Drosophila melanogaster: one gene and its partners. The protein of the gene in region 1 interacts with the protein of each later gene in a pairwise test. Each region holds a gene or a part of one and is shown on either strand. Other genes may lie near its edges.

Evidence for each region. The genes of interacting proteins can lie anywhere in the genome.
Region 2: the proteins of Hakai (region 1) and CG15865 interact in a two-hybrid assay, tested with the Drosophila melanogaster proteins (one large-scale study listed by BioGRID).
Region 3: the proteins of Hakai (region 1) and CG1314 interact in a two-hybrid assay, tested with the Drosophila melanogaster proteins (one large-scale study listed by BioGRID).

Annotation. Positions count from the first base shown.
Region 1 is NT_033779.5:19,578,904-19,587,002, forward strand, and holds Hakai (hakai), read right to left. Parts: upstream 3,572-8,099; 5' UTR 3,468-3,571; coding exon 3,104-3,467; intron 3,001-3,103; coding exon 2,453-3,000; coding exon of another isoform or gene 2,429-2,452; exon of another isoform or gene 2,383-2,428; coding exon 1,873-2,382; 3' UTR 1,709-1,872; downstream 1-1,708. Other genes in the region: msb1l, read left to right, coding at 1-105; Pmvk (phosphomevalonate kinase), read right to left, coding at 555-1,050, 1,154-1,227; PCNA2 (proliferating cell nuclear antigen 2), read right to left, coding at 4,123-4,782, 4,917-5,024; CG10366 (uncharacterized protein), read left to right, coding at 5,443-5,649, 5,727-7,012, 7,080-7,323.
Region 2 is NC_004354.4:16,658,367-16,667,784, forward strand, and holds CG15865 (uncharacterized protein), read right to left. Parts: upstream 6,090-9,418; coding exon 5,473-6,089; intron 5,344-5,472; coding exon 2,706-5,343; 3' UTR 2,532-2,705; downstream 1-2,531. Other genes in the region: r (rudimentary), read left to right, coding at 1-2,106, 2,172-2,276, 6,822-6,961, 7,669-9,418.
Region 3 is NC_004354.4:20,865,458-20,872,979, forward strand, and holds CG1314 (uncharacterized protein), read right to left. Parts: upstream 3,941-7,522; 5' UTR 3,883-3,940; coding exon 2,746-3,882; 3' UTR 2,532-2,745; downstream 1-2,531.

The DNA.
Region 1 (8,099 bases):
ATGGAAAAGGATTCTAAGAAGAATCAGATTCCGCCCGCGCAGAGCTTCAACGATCAACTGCGGATAATCTCTGGCACAGAGGGATTCAGCGGACCCGTTTACTAACACAGCTTAGTAGCTACTATTGCCTTATGTCCATCAAAACCCACCAAATCATAGTCTTTTCTCACGACACATACTTTTATTACTCATCTTTTAATAAATCATTTTATTAGTTTGCTTGCCAGTACATTGTGCACATAAATTGATGGATGCAGTTTGCTCATGAGTATTATTCTAACATTTGGAAACCGGGCTATTTATTCCTGAAGTAACCTATTACCGATAATCAGCGACATATAGTTTGTATATCCATTGAATCTATTAAGTCTTAAACGTTGCAAGTTAGTAAAACCGCCACACAAGCTCTATTTCGTTACCAAGAGTATTTACTATTAGGTACGTAACTTCATTCTTGTCTAGTGTATTGCATTAACTACGCTATTTGTGACCGGAATACGTGATATATCAAAAATACATTTGTTCAAAGCATGGTGAGCCGAGAGGTCCAAGCTCTATCGATACTGCAGCTGCAGCCTATCCAGCAGAATGTCGATGGCCTCCTGGTCGAGTTCCTCGTCGTTGGCCAACACCACGTCGAAGCCGTCGGCCAGATCATCCAGATCGCACTCGGAGGGAACATCGTCTATTCCTGCGGTAAAGGTCCATCCCCGTGCAGACCGCGTTTCTGGACGGGATGTTAGACGCAAGGTGATGACTCGTTCCGGCCCGTAAGTCTCCCGGAACCACCTGATGTCGTTCTTGCGCCGCACATCGCTGACCAGAATGTAGGGCGTCTGCTGGCGACTCAGCGCCTCCTCCATGGCCACGCGGCAGAAGTAGCCGTAGTCCTGGGCCCGCACCTCGTCGCTCCACACAATCATGTCGCGCCGGTACTTCTCCTTGTAGGGTCCATCACCGAGGAGAGCGTCCAGGTCCAACTGCAGCTTGCGAGCCCATTCCGACTTAATGGGCTCTGAGATTCGAACGATACACGACCGGGAGCCCAATCTGGAATGGAATTGGATTTTATTTGTCTGAATATTTCTGCAGCAAGCAGTGCAAATTTAACAAATTGGCAAGATTTCTACGACTAGCTATGCACTGCACCCACCTCCGCTGCAGCCTCTCGGATATGTAATCCTTGCCGCACTTTCGCTTGCCGCTGATGAGTACAATTTTCATCATTTTTCTGGCGCAACTTTCACTTTTGCTCGCCAACTTCTTTCACAACCGCTGCTTCTCCTGCTGCTTCTGCTTGTGGCCTCGATTTCCTAAGTTCTACGCTGTGCTCATCAGATACTGGATGTGGTTGTGTTCACCCTGGGCCCTGCCACTTGACTCCGGCACTGCGGCCTGTTGTGTTTATGCTAATGCTCCATTCGAAGTCTGTGCTCCAAGTCGCATTTGTTTACCTTTTGTATTTCGCTGGAACAGCAACCAGCTGGAGCGTATCGTCATCGATAGGCGGCCAATCGAGCGGGCTTTTTGAATTTCATTCAGCTCGAGTGGAAACCGTACCGTCATCGATTGGCCGCCAATCGGGCGGGATTTTTGAATTTCGTTCAGCTTGAGAACCGCAAAGGTATTCATAAAATTGTTATCCTGATTTGTTCGCCACGATAACCACTTCACTACTACATTAAGAATTAAGTTTAGCCCAAGCTTTAAAACCGGAGTAGCATTTATTTTTTGGTTCGGGTTGGCCTAACCCCGTAAAATATCTTTAATAGTGTTCAGTTCAGCTTAACATACACTTGTTCACTTAATTAAAAGCCTGCGTGCCTGCGTTAAAGCGTCTACCCTGGTTACTAGCCCCTCGCTTTCGTCCCCCTATCTGTAGTATTGCGACTGCTGCCAGTTGCCACTCGAGCCACCAGTTGGCGCGTCGGTGGAGCCTCCAATCAGGGCACCTGGGCCAACAGCGGAATGGCTGCCACTCGGATTGGCGGGCTGTGCTGCTGCTGTTGCCCCACCGCCGGGTGGCCCAGAACCCGGATTCCCGGCCGCACTGCCAAAGGAGGCGAGCACGCTGCTGTAGTAGGAGGCATCCGCCACCGACTCGGACTGGTGGGGCGTGCCCTTCTTGAGCGTGTGGTGCAGCGAGGCCTTGCCCTGGTGACATTCCTGCGCATTGGCATTGTTGATCCTGGTCAAATTGGCCAGCGTGAGCGTCGAGTGGCCGCCGTGGATGGCGTTTTGGGCGGCGGCGGCGGATCCTGGTGGCGGTATACTACCAATACTACCGATGTTACCGACACCGCCGGTCAGTGGCAGCCGCGACAGGACGGGACGGGACGCAATGGAGGCGGAAACGGATATGGGGACAGACGACTCGGAGAGCTGCAAGGGGCAAGCGGTTGTTTTTTTATAGACAGGACAGCTTAGTTTAGGAGCCATAGCTACCACTCGCCTTGCGCTGCTTGTGCAACTCCAGGCCCAGACCGACGCCGCCCAGATCCGTCATTTTTGGCTGCTCCGCCATGGCTGACAGCTGCGGCTGTGGCTGCAACGGTGGCGGCTGCGGCGCCACATGTCTGTGATTGATGTGCGCCTGCAGGTCGCGTTGCGAAAGGTATGTTCTACGGCAGCCGGAGCTGCCGTAGCGACTGCCGCCGTGCGTGCACATGAACACGGTGCCCAGGCCACTCTGCTCCACGCGCAACACCTTGTCCGTGCAGCGGGGACAACTCTTGATGGGCTCGGCGCGGGCGCACTTGAGGCAAAATACATGCTTGCAGGGTATCATGCGGCCGTAGACGAGGATCGGCTTGTCGCACTGATCGCAGCAGTGGATCATCGGGTTCAGCACCTTCTCGCCGATCAGGCTCACCTTGTGGTTCCACTTAAGGCGCAGCATCGGCTCCGGCGGTCCGCGCGAAAGCGTGGTGAAAGTGGGCGCCTCCAGTTGCGATATGTCCGCCTCCATGTCGACTGCGCGGGCGAGAGATAGCGAGATAGCTTTGTTCAATGCTTCAAGTTTGGATACCAAGGAATTGGTCAAGCCAAGATGTTAATCAATTTAACTATCTTGGACAACCATTCAATAGGGGAGGAGACTCACTTGTTTGGCTCATCACGGGCGGTGGCACTTGCTGCAGGACCTGTGGCTGTTGCGTCGCTGGAGTCATGTTCCCGCTGGCGGCGACCGCTCCTAGCGCACCGTGCGGCAGGGGCTCCTCCAGAGCGCCGGGCGTTTCCAGTTCGCCGTCCTTGTCGAGCTCCTGCATGACCGAATCTTCGGAGGCGTCCAGTCTTCCCGGACTGTCCTCCAGGGCTGCACAGCTGCTGGCCGCCAGGGCTGCGGCGTCGGCGATGCTGCTGTCGTCGATTTTCTTGCCACGACCGCGTCCTCGGCCACGTCCGCGCCCGCGAGCCCTGGTGCCACGCCCTCGTCCGCGGCCGCGCTTCACTTCCTCGGTGTCCATTGTTCACTTGTACTTGCGTGGGATTTTATGCCGGTTTTTAAGTTTTTCGGTTTTTGTTTAGCTCCGCATTTGCGTTTGGCCAGGGTTGTCAGCTGTTCCCACATACGTGCAGTAACTTAGGGTGACCAGTCTGCGCCTAACAACACTGGCCATCAAAAGGTCCGGCATCACTGGTCAGTTTAAAATACAATATTTTTACTTGTTTAATTTTAATTTTATCTGTTTTTCAATTATTTTTAAACTAATTTGAATTTAATGAATGTAAAAAAAAACATAAAAAAAAACAATAATTATAAGCATCTATTTAACCGTTCTTGTATCATATTAATAGCTTACTAATTTCTTTTGTAGCTTCAACATGAAAAAACAAAAGTATTCTGAATAGAAAATGTGAGATCTACATTAAGATAACCTTAAAAACTTAATAATAATTAATAACAAGGTTTAAAATTAGTTTTTTCGTATATAAATTTGAATTTGTAAAATGTTTTTTTAATTACAATTAAATAGTTTTTATTACAAGTTATATTTTTATACTATGCTTTAAAAAAAATGATTTTTGGTATTTGTTGCCTAAAAATATCGTTTATCCCCTTTCCTTATGCTTTAAATTGCGCTCGAATTTATGCAATAACTGAGTTGAGTAGTTCTTCAGCTAGAAATCGGGGTCATTCACCTTGGGTGCAAGGTAGTATCGAATGTGGCCGTAATCCTCGATGGGATACTCCACCAGGAGTGGCCGCTCGTCGGACAGGTAGAGCTTGACGCGATCTGCCAGCGGAGTGGCCTTGGTGAAGGTGTTGAGGTAGCGACCGGCGAAGGACTGGGTCACGGGCTCCTGCACCTCAATGCTCACGTCCATGGCGGTGCCCGCACTCAGCTGAATGTTGGCCGTGCCCAGATCTCCCTTGGCCAAGAACCTGATGCCCTTCGAGGAGCAGGCGATCGTCAGGGACTCGTCGAACATGCTCATGTCCCGGCAAATGCGCGCGAACTCTGACGACGGCAACTGGATGAAGCAGGTGTAGTCCTTTTTCGGAATCTCCATGTGATCCTGGTCCAGATTGAGGAGCTTCAGCTCGTAGTCCGCCGTGCGCTCCTTGCCATCCGACTCGAAGCTGAGCGTAATCTTCTCCGGTCTGTCAACGGCCTTAATGGTGACCGCATCGTCGCTATTGGCGCACTTAAGCACCTTGCCCAGGGATTTCAGATCCAAGCCCAGCGAGACATTGCGATCGCAGTGAAACTTTTCAAAACAATCCGAAGCCAGACTTAGGGCCACCAGCGAAACGTGGGAGTTGTCCATCGATTGCAGCTGGAATATAGAGTTGTAAAAGCTTTATTTCTTATCTCAACTTTTCATTTTCAGTCCCAAGTCTCAATGGAACTACTTAACAGCTTTTATGGGAATTCGAAACAAAATGACAGATGGAGGGTTATTCTCTTCACCTCCAGACCATTTTCACTGCAGTCCAGCGTTCCCTGGGCGATGATTTCCTTTAGTGCATCGACGATCTTCTTCAGCAGCAAAGTCTGACTCAAACGCGCCTCGAGCATTTTTCCAATTTTCAAAATTGACAATCGCTGTCCCGTTAAATTCACAATTGGAAACAAACAAAATGAAGCCAGTCAGCTGTTTCGCTGCAAGTGTAGAGATGCCGGACTGCTGCGGAGTTAAGAACAAAGCTTGTTAGATTAGTTTCGGTTGCGGATTTAAGTTCATTTGATGTCTGATGATGAAGCTAGTGAACATAGATCTTAGAATTTGACTTAAAGCTGTAGGTTAATCCTTTTCTATTTAAGGGTATCCAATTGAAATCACTTAATCCGACTGATCTGGCAGCATCTGCAACACTGGTTCCGGCTCCAGTTCTAGTTCGAGATCCAGTTCCAGCTCGGATCCAGCCATCCAATCCAATATGTTTACGCTTTATTTATTTATTTGTTTATTTATAACCAACTGCTGAGCTCCCCGATGGCCGCCGCGCAGGTGGAGATGCACGCTGCTCCGGCGGCTCCCCATGTCGATCGAAATCCCAGCAGCGACTGGCGACAGTGGTGTCGCCTGTGCGCCAAGGACGACGTGCAAGGCAACTTGAATGTGTTCCTCAAGAACGAGGATTCCGGCGAGGCAGCCTCCATGGAACTGGCCACCGCCATTGGCAAGTACTTCTGGGTGAATGTGAGTGCGCTCCTCGTGGCTCCTTGGATTTCCACAAGCTAACCAGCTTATCTTGATTTCTCTTGCCCCATCATCAGATAACTCGAGGTGAAGAGCTGCCGGAGACGATATGCAGTGAGTGCCTGTCGCTGGTCACCTCGCTGGTGAATTTCTCGGAACGGATTACCCGCGTGCAGAAGCTTTACTGCATCCTGCAGAGCACGCCCAGCCAGGAGAGGCCAAATCTCCACGAGCTGCGCTCGAAATTTGGTTTGCTGGACGAGGAGACGCAGACTGAGGTGCACTATGTGGACAAGAAGCCGAAGTTGGATGAACAGCTCGAGTTTCTGCCAGAGGAGTCGCCTTACGAGCTGGCAAACCCACTAACGCCAGAGGAAAAGCAGGAAAGCGTAGATCAGGAGCAGGATCAGCCGACGGAGGAGCCAGATGAGCAGGATGCCGACTACGAACCGAATGAAGATCGTGTACTAATGAGCCTCTGCGATGTGTATGGCATTCAGGAGGATAACTCTTCTGCTGGCAGCTTGGATGGCTCCTCGCCGAGTACCGAAAAAGCTGGAGAGGATGCAGCAGACTCTGAGAAAAGACACCAGTGCAACGAGTGCTTGCGAAGCTACGCCACGTCCAAAACCCTGCAGCGCCACCTGCGCCAGGATCATGGCCAGACTGAGCCCACAACCGAGCAGCTGCAATGCCCGGATTGCCCCAAGAAGTTTCGTCTACACTACCAGCTGGAGAGGCACATGAAATGGCACGTGCCCCTGCCCAAGCGCAAGCAGTACGCCTGTAGCAGTTGCGACAAGAAGTTCGCCACCAGTGCATCCGCCCAGCAGCACGAGCAGTACATGCACCTGGATGAGCGGCCGCGGCCGGTGATTTGCGAGCAGTGCGGTGTGGGTGTGCACTCGATGAGCGCGCTCAAGGAGCACGTCCTCAAGCACACGGACTACGCCCCCTTCGAGTGCGAGGTGTGCAAGAAGTGCTTTAAGTCGGCCAATCGTCTGAAACACCACAAGGAGACGCATGATCCGCACAAGTACATCTGCCCCGAATGCGGAATGCAGCTGAATTCGCGGACCACCTTGAATCGCCATCGACTGGTGCACACGGATCAGATGCAGCACAAGTGCGACTACTGCGGCCGGGAGTTTAAGCGCGCCAAGGCGCTGAAGAATCACCTCATCCTGCACACAGGACTGAAGCCTTACTCCTGCGATTTTTGCGACCGCACCTTTGCCAACGGCTCCAACTGCCGCACGCACAAGAAGAAGTCGCATCCCGAGGAGCTGGCTGCTCAAGAAGCGGCGGGCGGCGGCAGGTCGCACAACAGAAATATACCCAAGCTGGAGGCGCTCAAGGCATTGTAGGTTAACCAAAATCGTACATATAATGACAATTTCTAAATGATTCCATTACAATTCCGTTTGTAGCACCAAGAACAAGGACAATCTGTCGCCGGTGGCCACCAAACAGAGTGGCTGCTTCGCCTTCGGCAAAAAACCGAGGCCAGCCACCAAGGATACTCCAGCTTCGAATCCCGCCGTCATCCAAGATGCTCAGCCTGAACCAGCGCCTGATCCCGGAGGGGAGAACGCCACCCAAGCTGATACCCCAGCTGCGGCTATACCCACGTTAGATAATATTTATAACCATATCATGATCGACTATCGCTGACCCCCCACTTGAGTTCACCCCTTCAAATAGCACAAGTTTGAAGTTTTGTTTCCAAATTCGCCGTATGTTGTGTATTTATAGCTGTTTAAAGATATAGTTGAGATTGTTTTGCATACACTAGAATGTGTAAGTCGACTTAATAATTAATTTAAAGTATATGAGCTAATGTAATTAGAAAGAGAGCTTCTACGGGAAATTAAATATTTTGCTTATGAGTTAGGATCTTTCTATTTCGGGTACATTTTATTGTTTATGGTTCCGGAATAACTCAAGTGCGCGAGCGGGAAAGTGGGATTTGAACGCATCCGTGGATGGCGCATGTGCTCTGGGTTCCGGAGTCGGAATCTGAGGCGAAGCGAAGCCACCCCCATTTGAATCCTGTCCTGGTATAAAGGAATTTAGTTCAGTTGACAGCGTGCGCCTTCTCGTGTCCTGCTCTTGATGAAAACTTTTGCCGAAAACCAGTAAATCGAATTGAAAGCCGTTGAGATGTGTGAAAAGCCCAAGCAAATAATCCCTGAATCCAACATGACCAAATTGGGCAGTAAACAAAGTGTGGAAAAGGAAGTGTGAAGTGCGTCCCTTTACTCCGACGTGCGAGCCGAAAAATCAAAAAAATCGATTTATCCCCCAATAAAAACAAAGTGCACTAAATGCCCCAAAACGAACGATGAACTTCAAATAACCAAATTTGGGCTGCGAAGTGTGAAAAGTGGATTGAAAACCGAAAGCTTTACGAAAAAATAGTCTTTCAATTAAATATTCAGTGAAATTAG
Region 2 (9,418 bases), on another chromosome or scaffold:
ATCCACACGGGCGAGAGTATTGTGGTGGCCCCATCGCAGACCCTCTCGGATCGCGAGTACCAAATGCTCCGCAGCACCGCCCTGAAGGTTATCCGTCACTTTGGTGTCGTTGGCGAGTGCAACATTCAGTACGCCTTGTGTCCCCATTCGGAGCAGTACTACATTATCGAGGTGAACGCCCGACTGTCGCGCAGCTCCGCGTTGGCCAGCAAGGCCACCGGCTATCCACTGGCCTATGTGGCCGCCAAGTTGGCTTTGGGATTGCCCCTGCCAGATATCAAGAACTCGGTGACGGGCAATACGACGGCCTGCTTTGAGCCATCCCTCGATTACTGTGTGGTCAAGATTCCACGCTGGGATTTGGCCAAATTCGTGCGGGTTAGCAAGCACATTGGCAGCTCGATGAAAAGTGTCGGTGAGGTGATGGCCATCGGTCGCAACTTCGAGGAAGCGTTCCAAAAAGCCCTGCGCATGGTGGACAGCGATGTGCTTGGCTTTGATCCGGATGTGGTTCCGCTTAACAAGGAGCAGCTGGCCGAGCAGCTTTCGGAGCCGACGGATCGTCGTCCCTTCGTCATTGCCGCTGCTTTGCAATTGGGCATGAGCCTTAGGGAGCTGCATCAACTAACCAATATCGATTATTGGTTTCTGGAAAAGCTGGAAAGGATCATCTTACTGCAGTCCCTGCTCACCCGTAATGGCAGTCGAACCGATGCCGCTCTGCTGTTGAAGGCCAAGCGTTTTGGTTTTTCGGACAAGCAGATAGCTAAGTACATTAAGAGCACGGAGCTGGCTGTTCGTCACCAGCGGCAGGAGTTTGGCATCCGCCCGCATGTCAAGCAGATCGACACGGTGGCCGGCGAATGGCCCGCCAGTACCAACTATCTGTACCACACATATAACGGAAGCGAGCACGATGTGGACTTCCCCGGCGGACACACTATTGTGGTGGGCTCGGGCGTCTATCGTATCGGATCCTCAGTGGAGTTTGATTGGTGTGCCGTGGGCTGCCTGCGCGAATTGAGGAAGCTACAGCGACCCACCATCATGATTAACTACAATCCTGAAACGGTTTCCACCGACTACGATATGTGCGATCGCTTGTATTTCGAGGAGATTAGCTTCGAGGTGGTCATGGACATCTACGAGATGGAGAATAGCGAGGGCATCATTCTGTCCATGGGCGGCCAGCTGCCCAACAATATAGCCATGGATCTGCATCGCCAGCAGGCGAAGGTGTTGGGCACATCGCCGGAGTCCATCGACTGTGCCGAAAATCGATTTAAATTCTCGCGCATGCTGGACAGGAAGGGTATCTTGCAGCCACGCTGGAAGGAGCTGACCAACCTACAGTCGGCCATCGAATTTTGCGAGGAGGTTGGCTATCCCTGTCTGGTTAGGCCATCCTATGTGCTCTCCGGTGCGGCCATGAATGTGGCCTATTCCAATCAGGATCTGGAGACATATCTGAACGCCGCCTCCGAGGTGAGTCGCGAGCATCCGGTTGTCATTTCGAAGTTCCTCACCGAGGCCAAGGAGATCGATGTGGATGCAGTGGCATCCGATGGACGCATCCTGTGCATGGCTGTTTCGGAGCACGTGGAGAATGCCGGAGTGCATTCAGGTGATGCCACGCTGGTTACCCCACCGCAGGATCTGAATGCGGAGACCCTGGAGGCCATTAAACGGATCACATGCGATTTGGCCAGCGTACTGGATGTCACCGGTCCCTTCAACATGCAGCTAATTGCCAAGAACAACGAGCTGAAGGTCATCGAATGCAATGTCCGTGTGTCGCGATCCTTCCCCTTCGTCTCCAAGACGCTGGACCACGACTTTGTGGCCACGGCGACGCGTGCGATTGTGGGACTCGATGTGGAGCCACTGGATGTGCTCCATGGCGTCGGCAAGGTGGGCGTCAAGGTGCCACAGTTCAGTTTCTCGCGGCTCGCGGGCGCGGATGTACAGCTGGGCGTCGAGATGGCCTCCACCGGTGAGGTTGCCTGCTTCGGGGACAACCGCTATGAGGCGTATCTCAAGGCCATGATGTCCACGGGCTTCCAGATACCCAAGAACGCCGTACTTCTCTCCATTGGCAGTTTCAAGGTTTGTTGGCCACTCCATTGATTATTGATATTAGTTACTCCATTAATAACTCCATTCATCTGCAGCACAAGATGGAGCTGCTGCCTTCCATACGGGATCTGGCCAAGATGGGTTACAAGCTATACGCTTCCATGGGCACTGGCGACTTTTATGCCGAACACGGAGTTAATGTGAGTATATTTATGTCTGTGTGCTTATTGTATATCATGCAACTTTAATCAAAATCCATTGGAGATGCGAGTCAACAAAGTTGAGTAGTTTCAATACTCATTTCCTACTATTTGTTTTCCCTGACTTGGTTTACAAATTGAACGGTTGTTTATATTGCATTATTTATTTTCCATGACATTGGTTTACAAATTCAATAACATTATTATCATAGAGAAATTACGTTGATTTCAAGATTACTAATTACGAAAATATATATGGCGCACATGGTATGGACAATAATTATGGCCCATAACTATATATATATTTCTATCTCTATCTCTAACCGCCCTTATCACAACTGGTTTATCTGTTATCAATATATCAATATATCACTAATCGCCGGGATTTAGCAATTTGGCTACTATATGGTAGTATTATCTTTAGTGTCTCTAGTTGAATGCGCCCTTGAGCTTCTGTGCGTTGCGCTTGAGGATCTCCTTGAGTTCATCCCGCTTGGCCTCGGATGGGGCTACTCTTTGGACCAGTTGCTCCGTTTTGCTGCCCAGCATTTGCACCTTATCCGTGTCGAGGGAGAGCCTTTGAAGGATTCCGTTTAGCGAGAGAAATGATTCCTCCTTGGCTGTTTCCTCCGATTTTGATTTGATTCCCGTTTGCGGCTTAAGGCTATCCACTTCAGGAGAATCTATTGGTTCTCTATCTCTTTGGACATTGGGTTTTTCTTCTATGCGACTTTCTATTTCCCGAAGCAACGCGCTCTTGATCTCCTCCTCCTGTAGGGGTTCAATGGCGTTCGCATCCTCTTGGTGGTGAGCTCTTAGAATCCCATTGAGCTGATGGTTTTCCAGATGGGGCATATGCTTCTGCATGGCCAGCGGTTCTGGAGTGTGTATCTGCACGACATGCTCCTGGAACTTGATGGATTTCCTTGGCGCTGGCGGAGATTCAACCACCGTGGAGGGACTGCCGCCCGATGACGTTGGTATATGCGATTCACACATGCGTTCCATATCGCTGGCTGCGTTCTGTAGTTCCTGGACGAAGTGCTGTGCCTGCTGCGAGCAACCGAGGTGCTGATAAAGGCGGCACAATCTTTGCCCATGCTCCAGATAAAGCTGTGCATGTCCACGGTTGCCAAACCGAATGGCACGAGCCAACATGGCCAGCGAATGATCCAGCAGAAGTTCGATCAGATTGCTCCTTCGCAGGATCTCCAAGCCGTTGTTCAGTTGCGGTTTCGCTGCTTCCTGGCTCTTGGAACTTTCCGGATTGGAGCGTGCCAATAGCAATTGGCGATCCAGGGAGTCGAGCGAGCAACGTCTTTGTTCCGTCGCCGAGATTTGAAATTGCTGAGTCGTGGCCCTTAAGAGCTGTGTCTTCCTGCGCAGCTTTCCTCTCGAGCGCTCCTGGTGCTGAGCCAATCCCAAGAGTCCCTTGGCATCGGTGATCTCCGTCCTTTCGGTTTTTTTTTTCGTTTCCACCTGCTGCCCGCCATTGTTTTCTTCACAGTTCTGCAGAGCGGGAAATCCCTGACGTGGACGCGAGAACTTGCCCCGTCCGTGCAGCTCCAGGTAATCCTGGCTAAAGAGATTCTCCAACAGTCGCTTGTACTCCAGTTGCGGGTAGAATTCCGGCGCGTGCTGAAGATTCCTCAGTGCCTGGATGACATGCAGCAGCGGTTGTTCCGCAATTCCGGCCATTATGCTGCGCAGCTTCATCAGCGTATCCTCTGGGATATGCTCGAATAGATTGCGCCGCTCAATGAAGTAGTCGCTCAGGTGTTTCTTGGCCAAACAGGCGTCGAAGGAGCGAATGAATCGAACCAATCGCTCGCCCAGAAACTCCTCTGGCCAATCATTGCTGTGCTGCTCACATTGCCAAAACATATGGGCTCTCAGCTGTTCGAGCAAAGCTCCCGGGGATTGGTCACAGGATGTGGTTGATTCGTCCACAAAGGTTTTGACCAGCAGCTTCATTAGTTGGAACACCTTCAATTGCATGGGCGTCAGGCAGTGCCGCTCGAGAAACTGTTCCGCCTGGGGAAAGACAATGCGCCATTCCAGTTCCCTGAAGGGATTTCGCGAACGCTTTGGTGCATAGCCCACTGGTACAACATGGAAGCCCATGGATCGAATACGTTTTTTCATCTGCTCCGTTGGCCATTGGAATTGTTCGGCAGTATGGAGGTTGGTCAAACGAGGACGAGCCCTCAGCCAAAACTCGAAGGCGCAATCCGGCCAGGAATTGGGCACATGAATGGCGGGCACCAGCTCCTCGCGAGCGGTATATACACTACAGCCGCGATACGAACACGCGGCCAGCTGCGATTGGCTGATGCCCAATTGGTTAGCCAAATGATGACGCAGCACCTCTCCAAAGTACAACATGAACTGCTGCGAACTGAGGTAGCACTGCTGCAGTTGCTCCACATGACACTGGCGAAGCACCTCCACCGTTTCATAGCCAGCCGGTGGATATTTGCGATTATCGGAATTCGCCTCATCCTTCTCGTCCTCGTCACTGCTGGAGGCGGCGGAGGATGACTCCTCGTCGTCGGTTTGCTCTAGCCAAGGAGGCAGACAATTGGCCAAACGGCGAATGCAATTCCCAGGTAGGACATTCCTCTGGAAATTGAAATCGCGATCAAATCGCAGCTCCTCCAGCGGTCGCGGAGTATTCAACCTGGCCAAGTAGACATAATCGTAGTCCCCCGAACTGTAGCCCGAGGATGGGGAGTTGGATGCGGAGGATCCCACATCACCGTAGATGCATTCCTCATCGCTGCTGGCCGGCAAAGATAAGCTGGAGCTAGTGGGCGTGCCCGCCTGCGGATGCGGCAATTGGTCGCGCAGCTTGAGGCGAACATAGCCCATCCACCTGGTCATCTCCATCAAGTTGACTAGCTCCGAGGGGCAGGGCGTGGTCCGGTAGTAGTCCGTCTCCAGGAGCACCTTGCACAGTGCCGCCACGGTGTCGTAGTTGGCATCGTGGGGTCGCGCCACGTCAACGTTCTCAAAGACCACATAGGTCACGGGTTTCTGCAGCAGCTGTGGTGGACTCTTCGAAGATCTGAAATCGGTTATAAATACATATATTAAAAACCAATTTTAAAATGAAAAAAGAGAAGATCATAAAATGTAGGCAAAAAAGTATAGAAAAATCTAGAAAGTATGGAGAGAGGATAAGGAAAAGACTTACGGCGGCTTGAAGAGCAGGTTCCTGGCGACAGCTGCATCGATGGCGCTACTTTGGAGCAAGCTGTGCTCGGCCAGCTTTTCGGCGGAGCAGTTGCGTCGCCTGGCCACGATTTGGGCATCGACCACGGCCATCTCGGCCTCGAAGTGCCCAAAGAACTGGATACCCAGAAGCAATTGGTTCAGCAGGAAGGTGTGCAGTTCGCGGTCCAATTGGTGTAGGGTCCTCTGCTCCACGGTCCGCTGGAACTCCTCGCGCTGCTGCTCCAATGTTCTGGCATACAGGGCACTGACACATTCGGTGGCCGTGCTTCCATTGCTGCCGCCCAGTAGACGCAGTTGCAGGGCGAGATCAGGATGGCTTTTTCCGTTGATGTGTCGTCTGTGAATCGATCCACCACGACCGAGGAAAGATCCTCCGGCGCTGGCAGATCCAGATCCTGCGCCCTTCTTTCGGCGACGTTTACGCGCGTTACGCTTTTGGAGCTTCTGCAGCTGGCGGAGATGCTTCTCCTCTTGGCGCCGCCTCCTCTGTTGGCGCTGGGCGGGAATGCCCGCCTGCAGGGCATTGGGCGTGGCACTGGAATCCACCTGCTCGGATCGCGACCAGGAGCAGCCCATACTCAACGGACGATCGCTGATTTGTGACTGAATTCCGGCTGATAAAGTGTACAATCTGCGATCGGAGTTCACCAATCACCAATTACCAATTACCTGCGATCTGCGATCTAGTAATGGCAATCGGAAAGATAAGAGCTGAACGACTCTTCCGGCCACCACCTCCTTCGGCCCAATTATCCATTATCAGCCAGTTCCTGGTGCTTCCATGAAAACGGAATTGATTTCCACTTCACTGTGCCGCACAAACAGACAAAAAACTCAAGGAGGCGTCTAAAATAGATGGTCTTCAAAGGAAATATAATATAAAAATTGATCTATTGAATTCTTATCTTAAAATAGTAACTTAAGATTTTCTTCTGATTGCACTCTTAGTTCGATTGAATATATCTTATTACCACTATTCACATATCAAATGTTCAAAGTTCGATTTATTTGGAATTATTGTGTAAGATCGTACATATCTGCACCACTGTGCCATTGCCATGGCCTGTTGCTCTATTGTCTTCGATGTAGACATGAAAGATCCATAAATAATGGTATCTATATGGTGTACTCTGGGCAAACAATTGATTGGAAGTAGAGTTGGTGGCGCGGATGACGATGACATGTGGCCTTGGTGATGATCGGTCGGTCGCATTCTCTATATATATATATATATATATATACCATTGTATATGATCTATGTCTATGTACGAGTAAATATTGTATATATGTGTGCTTTTGCCCTTGCAGGTGGAATCCGTGCAGTGGACATTCGACAAGACGACTCCCGATGACATCAACGGTGAGCTGAGACACCTGGCCGAGTTCCTGGCCAACAAGCAGTTCGACCTGGTCATCAACCTCCCGATGAGCGGCGGGGGTGCCAGGCGGTGAGTACGATTCGATGGTGACTCTTTTTAATGGCCCCCAAATATATATGCCACTAAGTTGGTGATCCATGGAACTTCAGGAAGAAGTCTGCAAGTGCGAATAGTATTTGTTTTCTAATTGTGTTTACCTATAAAACATATATAACATATTTCTTGTAGCGGATATGCATATTTATATAGCTAACCTACTTTGATAAAAGTTCTGTTTTCAGGGGTATTAACGACTTAATGATTCAATATTCAAACAAATGTTAGTCACTGGAATTTTTGGGCCTTGAACACAGTTTGCACAACAATTTGGCATATAATTTAAGTTATTAAGTTATAAAAAGGGCTTGTCTTAATTCCATTTCTTATCTGGCTCAGACATCTTAAATGTTATTTATATTTTCTTTAAAGTCCAATTGGAGTGCAAAGTACTTATAACTGAGTGCAAAGAATTTTCGTTTGTGTGGAGTAAAACTGATATCCGAACGATATATTTTTAGTGTTTTTTATAAAATTGAAGACAGTTCCAAACCTAAAAAGTATATCTTGTCATGTCCGTATGTCAGTTTATCCGTGTGTTTTTACGCAAGCTATTCTCTTATTTTTAAAATTAGAGCAATTAGTTGAAGAATTAATAGTTGTTAGTTTTAAGGCAGTGCCTTTTGATTATATGTACATATGTATCTCCAAGTAAATGTGATTTCCTGATACTATTCCAGGGTCTCCTCGTTCATGACCCATGGCTACCGCACCCGTCGCCTGGCCGTGGACTACTCCATTCCGCTGGTGACCGATGTGAAGTGCACCAAGCTTCTGGTAGAATCAATGCGAATGAACGGTGGCAAGCCGCCAATGAAGACGCACACGGATTGTATGACCTCGCGTAGAATTGTGAAGCTGCCGGGCTTCATCGATGTGCATGTGCATTTGCGGGAGCCGGGAGCCACGCACAAGGAGGACTTTGCCAGTGGAACAGCAGCCGCTCTGGCTGGCGGCGTGACCCTCGTGTGCGCCATGCCCAATACAAATCCCTCGATCGTGGACAGAGAGACGTTCACCCAGTTCCAGGAGCTGGCCAAAGCGGGAGCTCGATGCGACTATGCCCTGTATGTGGGGGCCTCGGATGACAATTGGGCGCAGGTCAACGAGCTGGCCAGTCATGCGTGTGGCCTTAAGATGTACTTAAACGACACTTTCGGCACCCTAAAACTGAGCGACATGACCAGCTGGCAGAGGCATCTCAGCCACTGGCCCAAGCGGTCTCCCATCGTTTGTCATGCGGAGAGGCAGAGCACAGCGGCTGTGATTATGCTGGCCCATCTTCTCGACCGTTCGGTTCACATCTGCCATGTGGCGCGAAAGGAGGAGATCCAATTGATTCGTTCCGCCAAGGAAAAGGGCGTCAAGGTGACCTGCGAGGTGTGCCCCCATCACTTGTTCCTCAGCACCAAGGATGTGGAGCGTTTGGGTCACGGAATGTCCGAGGTAAGGCCATTGCTCTGCTCACCGGAGGATCAAGAGGCTCTGTGGGAGAATATTGATTACATCGATGTATTTGCCACCGATCACGCGCCACACACACTGGCCGAGAAACGTTCGGAGCGTCCACCGCCTGGATTTCCGGGCGTGGAGACCATTCTGCCGCTCCTCCTGCAGGCTGTTCACGAGGGTCGTTTGACGATGGAGGACATCAAGAGGAAGTTCCATCGCAATCCAAAAATCATCTTCAACCTGCCGGATCAGGCGCAGACCTACGTGGAGGTGGATCTCGACGAGGAGTGGACCATAACGGGCAATGAGATGAAGAGCAAGTCCGGCTGGACACCATTTGAGGGCACCAAGGTCAAGGGACGCGTCCACCGGGTGGTTCTTCGCGGCGAGGTGGCCTTCGTCGATGGCCAAGTGTTGGTGCAGCCCGGCTTCGGGCAGAATGTGCGCCCCAAACAGAGTCCATTGGCGTCGGAGGCATCACAGGATCTGCTGCCCAGCGACAACGATGCCAATGACACCTTTACCCGCCTCCTCACCTCCGAAGGACCCGGTGGAGGCGTACATGGAATATCGACCAAGGTGCACTTTGTGGACGGAGCCAACTTCCTGCGCCCCAACTCGCCATCCCCACGCATCCGTCTGGATTCCGCCAGCAACACCACGCTGCGGGAATACTTGCAGCGCACTACCAACTCAAATCCGGTGGCCCACTCGCTAATGGGCAAGCACATCCTTGCCGTTGACATGTTCAACAAAGATCACCTCAACGACATCTTTAACCTGGCACAGCTGCTCAAGCTGCGGGGTACGAAGGATCGTCCGGTGGACGAGCTGCTGCCAGGCAAGATCATGGCCAGTGTGTTTTACGAGGTCAGCACGCGGACGCAGTGCAGCTTTGCAGCTGCCATGCTGCGTTTGGGAGGGCGAGTGATCAGCATGGACAACATCACGTCGTCGGTGAAGAAGGGCGAGAGCCTG
Region 3 (7,522 bases), on another chromosome or scaffold:
GGTGACTGCTGCCGTTTATTGTCCTGCTCCTGCTTCTGCTCCGGCTCCTGCGAATGGCGGAGCACTGGAGCTGTGGAGAAACGTGGCCGGGCAAGTGACCCAGAAAGTACCAGTAACCAGCAATAAATGGCAATATTTGATGGATTACTTGAGCGTTACTTTGACTTGCCAACGAAAAGAAGAGTATAATTTTATCGTGTTTGTGGGCGGACGTTGAATGAATAAGTAATAGATTCAATTTTATTTTCTGTTGCTAATAAACATAAATTATTTTAATTGTGTAAGAGTACTTATTTACTTACAAACCTAATACGACTATGAGACTTGATACAATATATATTTTACATGCACATTAGATCACAACGCAGTTGAATAGTAAAGTACTTGCAAGAAATGCTTTAATGCATTAAAGTAAATTAATCAGAGCTTGATGATTTAATTGTTTTGGCAATTATTTACGCACGCAATCAGAAACTGAAATTGTTAGTTAAAGTTTAAACAAATACGTGTATACATACGTATTACGTATCCATATTAAACAATAGATTTCGAAACCCTTCACTTACAGCGATCCTAAAAAGTAGGCAACATTTTCGTGCGAACTCGCTCCTGTTTCTGCCAATGCAAATTGAAAATACATTATTTAATTGGTTAGTTGGCCTGTTCAAGCGAAAAACAACAAGCCATGAAAACAAATAAACATAAATTGAATGCAATTGTATGATTAATTGTTAAGGGCCAGCAAGACAGCCGAACAAATTTCAATTTGTACAGCAATTATAGCCGAATGTTGCGCCAGTTAAGTTCGCAAATATACAAATTAAGCTGAAACAATAATTAAAGCCAGCCATCTGATTGTCGAGCCATATTTCAATGCTCACAGCCGTGGCTGCAAACTTCTCAGACTCACTGCCCAATCAAATGCTCAATTGCCACTTATTCTGCGGCTGCCCCTGGACAACATCAAACCACACCACTTAATTCTCCGAAGACCAGACTAGACAAAAAGTAGAATGGCTGTAAAGGGGTGGGGTGGGGGGGGAGGTTGTTCGAACAAAGGGAGACGCAAAGTCGTTATTGTCTTAGTTTTATTAAAATGCGTTCTTTTTATTTTCGGGCGGAAAACAGCAACTTTCCCGGGCAAAAAATTGTCAAAGGCAACGGCCAAAAATGGAACTCTGGCAACAGCCATTTCTGCCAATTTGTGTGCAATTTAAAGTGTCCGAAGGGGGACCCTGTGCTCCGTGGTACATACACAAAAAGTTGGCCACTATTTTACCGTGGTTCTTCGGGGCGTGGCGATGGGGACGGGACCGGGGTCAAGGGGTCCAAAAACTTGGCAGACACGGACACAGATGAGCAGACCGCAATGGAACTGACCGCGGGGATTCACTGACCGAAAAGAAGAAAGCAATCTAGCATCGCAAAATATAAGCGAAAAGGATTGGGTCCTTAAATGGGTATTCTCTATTTACAATATTTTTGTTTTTGCGGCGGCATAAAAATTGTAGTGACAGCCTTATATCAATGTACTTGATCGTTGTCACTAATCTACGATTACGTTCGTTAAACCGAAAACCGAAACCAATCCTGTTCGGGCGGATATTCGTATTACTTGAAACAGGTCGACCCATTTCTCTCAGTGCTCGGATGCATTGCTCATAAAGCGTTCAGCGGCCCTGGCACAAATGGTGCGGGGGGTGTAGTCCTCTTCAGGGGGGTAACACTGCTGCATTAACGCTGACCGAAAAATCTCTGCAGCTGAAGTTGAGCTTACATTTTCTTTTTTTTTTTTTTTTGCAACCGAATAAAAAGGACAGAAAAGTATTTCGCGGACAAAGCAGCCAAAACCACCTCCGCCCACCCCCGGCGGTGCTGTTGCAACAATAACGGTACATTACAAGTGCCAGGCAAAAGCATCGAGTTAGTTAGTTTGCCGCCACAAGTCCCCTTGGCCCCTCTCCACAACACCCCTGTTCACAATTTCTGCGGTCTTGTTAGTCTGGGCTGGCAAGTTGGTTAAAAAGTTGTTGATGCAGTTACTCCTCCTTCTGCCCGCCACGCCCCCTTTTGCGACGACATTTGTGCTAATGGCTGCCAACGACCTGGACAGCAAAACCGAACAGCCCTTGTCCCCCTCTTTTACGACGCCCCTGCCCCACATGGCAAACATGTTGCATACGCTGCGGCGTAAGCGAAAAATTTCCAGCGAACAGCTTTTTGGCCAAGCAAACACACAGCGGGTTAAGTGGGCGAGTTTGCCACAACATTTGTGTTCAAGAATAATTAAATTAAGCTGTCAGTCTGACCGAGAAAATTGCAAATACACTCAACATTATGATGCACTTTCAAATGTACACATACCATACATACAAGTTTGAACTCAAAGGGCCGATTTAATGGCAGTTCGAAACTATTATTTATTTTATTTTATTATCGACTAAACAATTAATTATTTAAACCTATTGAACGATGTAAATGGCACTTTCAAACTAATTTGTCATCGCATTAATTAATAACAATTTAATTTTAGTTCTAATAAGGAATTTGATCTTTACTGATACAATTTTGATGAAAATTTACAAGATTGCATATGTTGAATTGCTTATGAGATATGGTATTTCGTCCAAGTACAAAGTGATCCAAAATAATTTAAAAAAACTTGAAACAATTTTTAGGTACAGTATCAAAGTAATGCAAATAATTTTGAAAAATCATTCCAAAAATCATTGTGATAGACTGCGTTTAGTTCGCTTGAGGCCCTTCTGAGTTCCCAATAAATACCTCCTCCTTGGAGGTATTCTCCTTTTCCGCAAGTTCTATTTCGATGTCGTCTTCGCGAAAGGTGCCCTCATTAGGATTAGGCGATATGGGCCCCACTCTACCCTCATCCTCTAGAATGGTGAACTGTAGGTCGACGTCCAGCGTGTAGTCTTCAGTGTGCTCCTTCATTTCGCGATGTGTGAATCGCATAAAATGCGGACTGTCCGAAAGCAGATCGCAATTCTTCAGGGTCTCCGAGCCTTGACAGGTCTGAATCATCTGCCGACGTGGCACTCCCGGAGTGTTTTCTCCGATATTCACGGATACCAACAAAGGCGTCTGGGCCTGGGGACAGCACAGCCACAGAATATAGATATGGGTCACTCGCGGTCCGACGGGCATCGAGTCCCAGGAAGTCTTCCACAGCATTATCAGGACGGGCAATTGGCACTCCCAGTCCTTGTAGATATTGGGTAGATTTAAGTTCCTGGTCGCGTTGTTGCCACTCTCGTAGATCATCAGACCCACACAGTTGCTTTTGCCCCTGTCCTCGGGCAAGGATTTTCCACACAGCTTCAGAACCTTTGGCTCCTTGGGCTTCATTTCCATTGTAATAATGTGCTCGTGGTGCATCAGGCAGTGACTTAGGAGCTGCTCAGGATTGAACATCAAGTCGCAATTGCTCAGCGGACAAGCCATGTCCAGCTTCTGCAATCTCCAGTATTTGCGCACCTCGACTGCAGTATTTCTCAGCCGCTCATAGCGAATTTCCGGAGAACTGATTCTGCCATGTGGGGAAGCGGAAATGGCTTCTGCGCCGCCGCGCATGGGCACTCTTCCGCCCGCCGGAAGAGACAGCTTGCAGTCCATATACAAGCGCCTACGGTGATCGGGCATCAAGCTGGTGAAGCAGATCTCCACCTCCTCATCGGTATCATTACCATCGTTCTCGTTCTCCAGACGACATGCACTCGCCATCACAGCTTCCGGCGTGGTGTCCAGGGAGTACTCCGACTGAGCGAGATCCAGGACGGCAGATATACCAATGCCAGACTCGGAGCACCTACAGAATGCACCGGATGTCGATGGTTGCTCGCCCTCGCAATTGTTGTTCTCCATTTAGGAATTTTTAAGAAAATGTCGGTTTTTTTTTTTTGTGATTATAATTCTGTGTGAGTCGAACTGTTGACGTCTCGACGTAAAATTATACTGATGACAGAAGGTTAGAACAAATGAAATCAACTTTTGATTACTTATTTCACAAACTACTTGTTTATTTTTTTTTTCTAACGGTTTCAAGTTAATATTATGTGATTCTTTTAATGAGTTCCATGACGGAGTCACGAGCGTGGAATTATCGTCTTTAGAAGAGATTCCTAGACTGCAACTGAGACAATGCTATCAAAACTCTGGAGAACATTTTGTTGCATTTGTAATTTCCGGTTTCGCACACACATGCATACATAGTTGAAAAAGAAAATGCGAAAGAAAAATGTGTCAACATACAAGACAAAGCAAAACACAAACAAAACTCAAGTTGCCTCTGTAGAACAACGAAATGCAACTAGGGGTAAAAAGGGGGGAGGGGGAATCGCTTCCAAGGGAGAGGGCAACAGTCGGACTAGGACTGCAAACTCCCTGTGGCCACCCCCCTCCCACGCCACTACTTTCGTCCACCTCCCACTGGCAACTCCTTTAGTTTCAAATCGACAATGGAATGAACCGCCGCAGAGGAAGTGCGGTCTATTGCAGTAAAATCGGAGTTCAATCAACATATGTCAAGACCTTCAATAAATTTAAAAGATTATGACTGATTAAATCAAAACAAATTTTAAACCAATTTCATAAACCAATTTCATAATAACACTGATTATTTGGATAGCTTTTGTTAATTTATTCACTGTAATATGTATTAGATATTTAAAAACTTCTGTATAGCAAGTGTATATTTAAATTGATTCCGATTGTAATTTATTTAAGCTAATGAGGACAAGATGCATGAAGAGATAAAAACATAAATGAAGAACGTTATTTCAATTAATAAGTATTTTTTGGGACCTTTTATACATTTATGTCGCGCAACTTGGTAACAATAATAAAAACGAGCTGAGTCACGTGCTCGCGCCGTTTGTTTATGGCTTTCTCCCTTTTACTTCGCTTTTACTTCATTAGTTTCGAGGGGAAAACTCCACCTCTCTTTCCTTAGCCATGCTCCCTGGGTTTTCCGCTCTTCCCACTTGGTATCGCTTTTCCTTTTCGAGCTTTTGAGCTGCAATTGTCAGCTTACAGTGCAGCCAACCGCAAATGGCAAACAGGCCAAAGCCGCTGTATCTCTAGATTCGATGATATCTTTAAGACGGATTTTCATTGCTTACCGTTTGCTTTAATTGAGTTTTTACAATTTGATATCTACCTAAAAGGAAAGTAGCCTTCTTCATCATAAGCAACCCTCACCTGAAACAAATAAGAAAACATTTTTGTCAGCGAATCAGCATTCAAGAAGTGCTTGTATTAAGAACCAACAAGGAAAGGATTTTAAAAGGTCAATTGAAGAAAATTCAACTTTGAGCTCGCACATTTGCACGCACACAGACCCCCGGGATGCAGTGGGGTTAAGCGAAGGGTTCATAAGGCACATATCCACACATAAAGATTTCCATTTCCCTGCTGCTGTCTTGACAACAACCCAGACAACAATGTGTAAAACAATTGTGCTCGCAGTTAATTTGTGTGGTACGACAATCTAGTATCACCTCAGCACTCGAAGAAAAAACGCGCAGAACATGGGTTCTCTTATCGAAAAGGATGGAATATCGACAAGGAACCATATATTGAGCAAAGTAAACTGCGCTAATATTGTCATTATCTCCAAAGTTTATTAAGCATTTAATGATTTTAATTGCGAATATCGCCTGAAATTTTGTTCGCTTGCTGAATGCTCAGTGTATGCTGTATGATAATATTACTGCGAGTGACACTCGCACACATGGCGTATACGCAATGTGCCAAAGTTTATACGAAATTAATGTTAATTACGACGCGAGTATAGCTATCCATCTCAGTCGCACGGTCGTGGCAGCATCTGTGTCCTGTCGGGAAGTGGGCGGAAAGTGTGGGTGGGAAATGGAAAATGGCAGGGAAATGGGGAATGCAATTTGCCAGCAGCGCATTTAACAAGCTGAACGCGCTTAAGCCGAAGGATTCAGCATCGAATGAGTCGACAAAAGTGCATCGAATCGTCCTGAAAAGGAATGATTAATAACCGTAATCGATAAACGTGAAAAATTGATGCGTGATGGATGCACGAATTACGAATGAGTCCGTAAATTAAAACTCGTGGTACATATGTATATTTTCCACAGCAATAAATTTTAGAAAGAGGGGAATCCTTCACGAAATCATTGTGGTAGTTATTTAAATGTTGCAAATGAACGAGGAGAGCAAAATCTTTTGACAACAATTTCCGCTTGGCCACTGATTAATTGTAGAATTAACTGAACAACAGGCCTCATACAATTTCGCTTATAACAATAGCCCGAATCATCGCTCATCTTTATCGGAGCAATCAATCGAATTCACCTTTCGGCATGCCGATAAATCCCGCTTAAGCCATTCGGTTGCACAAAGGCAGGCAATTTTTCGTGTTTTATTTTTTCTTCTATATGTATTTTTCTCTATTTATTCTCCGCCTTATTTTGTTTGCTGAATTGAACAACTTGTGCCAGATGCGGGGATTCCCATGATCCAAGGAAGGAGCTCCCTCGCCGTTTGCCGTGATGTGGCACAAATGGCAATGCGCTTAACGTGTTTCGTGTTGCTTCTGCCGCTGCTGATGATGCCGCTGCTGTTACTGCAATGCAACAAAGGCAGCCGTGCCACGCCCCTCACCCACAACGCGTCCAGAGGAGACACCTTGGCACCCACGCACAGACACAATTTATAAAAGCCACAACAAATGTCTGAGGCTGTAAACTTTCCGTAAATCTTTGCAGCAATGTCTGCCAGCGGCAGCAGCAGCAGAAACAACAGCAACACTGGCTGCAACAGCAACAATAGAAGACAAGGACGATGACGACGACGATGACGTCGTCACGCGGATGTTTCGACGCGACTCTGAAGGATTTTCATGGCTGGTAGCTAAAGCCTTCCCCGTTTCTCCAACGTTCCCTCTTGCCGTTGCTGCCGTGCACGTATGTTCTGCTGATGTTGCCGCTGCGCTCGGTGGCTTGTGTTGCATGTTGCCGTCAGCATGTCAGAGCCCCCAACACGTTGCAAAATGCGCTTACACACATGTAAGCACATGTTGGGGCAGAAAACGCAGCTAGAGTCGCCCTTTAAGTGCCCTTTATGAGCGGGAAAATTTCGTTCTTATAATCGTAGCACATTCTAAATGCTAAAAGATGGAAGCTAAGAACTTATGCCCCAATTTAATTGAAAATATTAAGACTTATGATTAAACAATCAATAATACTTAAATAAAAATACAAACATTTGTAAAGAAGTTACGAAATGCTATACGGAAATTATAGAAAAGCTATAGATTCAATATACAAAATGTATATAACATGGAATGGTCCGTAAATATTTACTTATTAGAACAGAGCAGTTTCGGCAAAGTTCCACTTGCGAAACAACCAAGGGAAAACGTTACATTGTCATCGTCTCAGCGTTTTGCGTGACAGCATTTTCTTGGCACTGACTGTTAACATTTTGCCAGCTTCCCAGCTTCCCAGCTTTCCCGTCTGTCCCATCAGCTGTT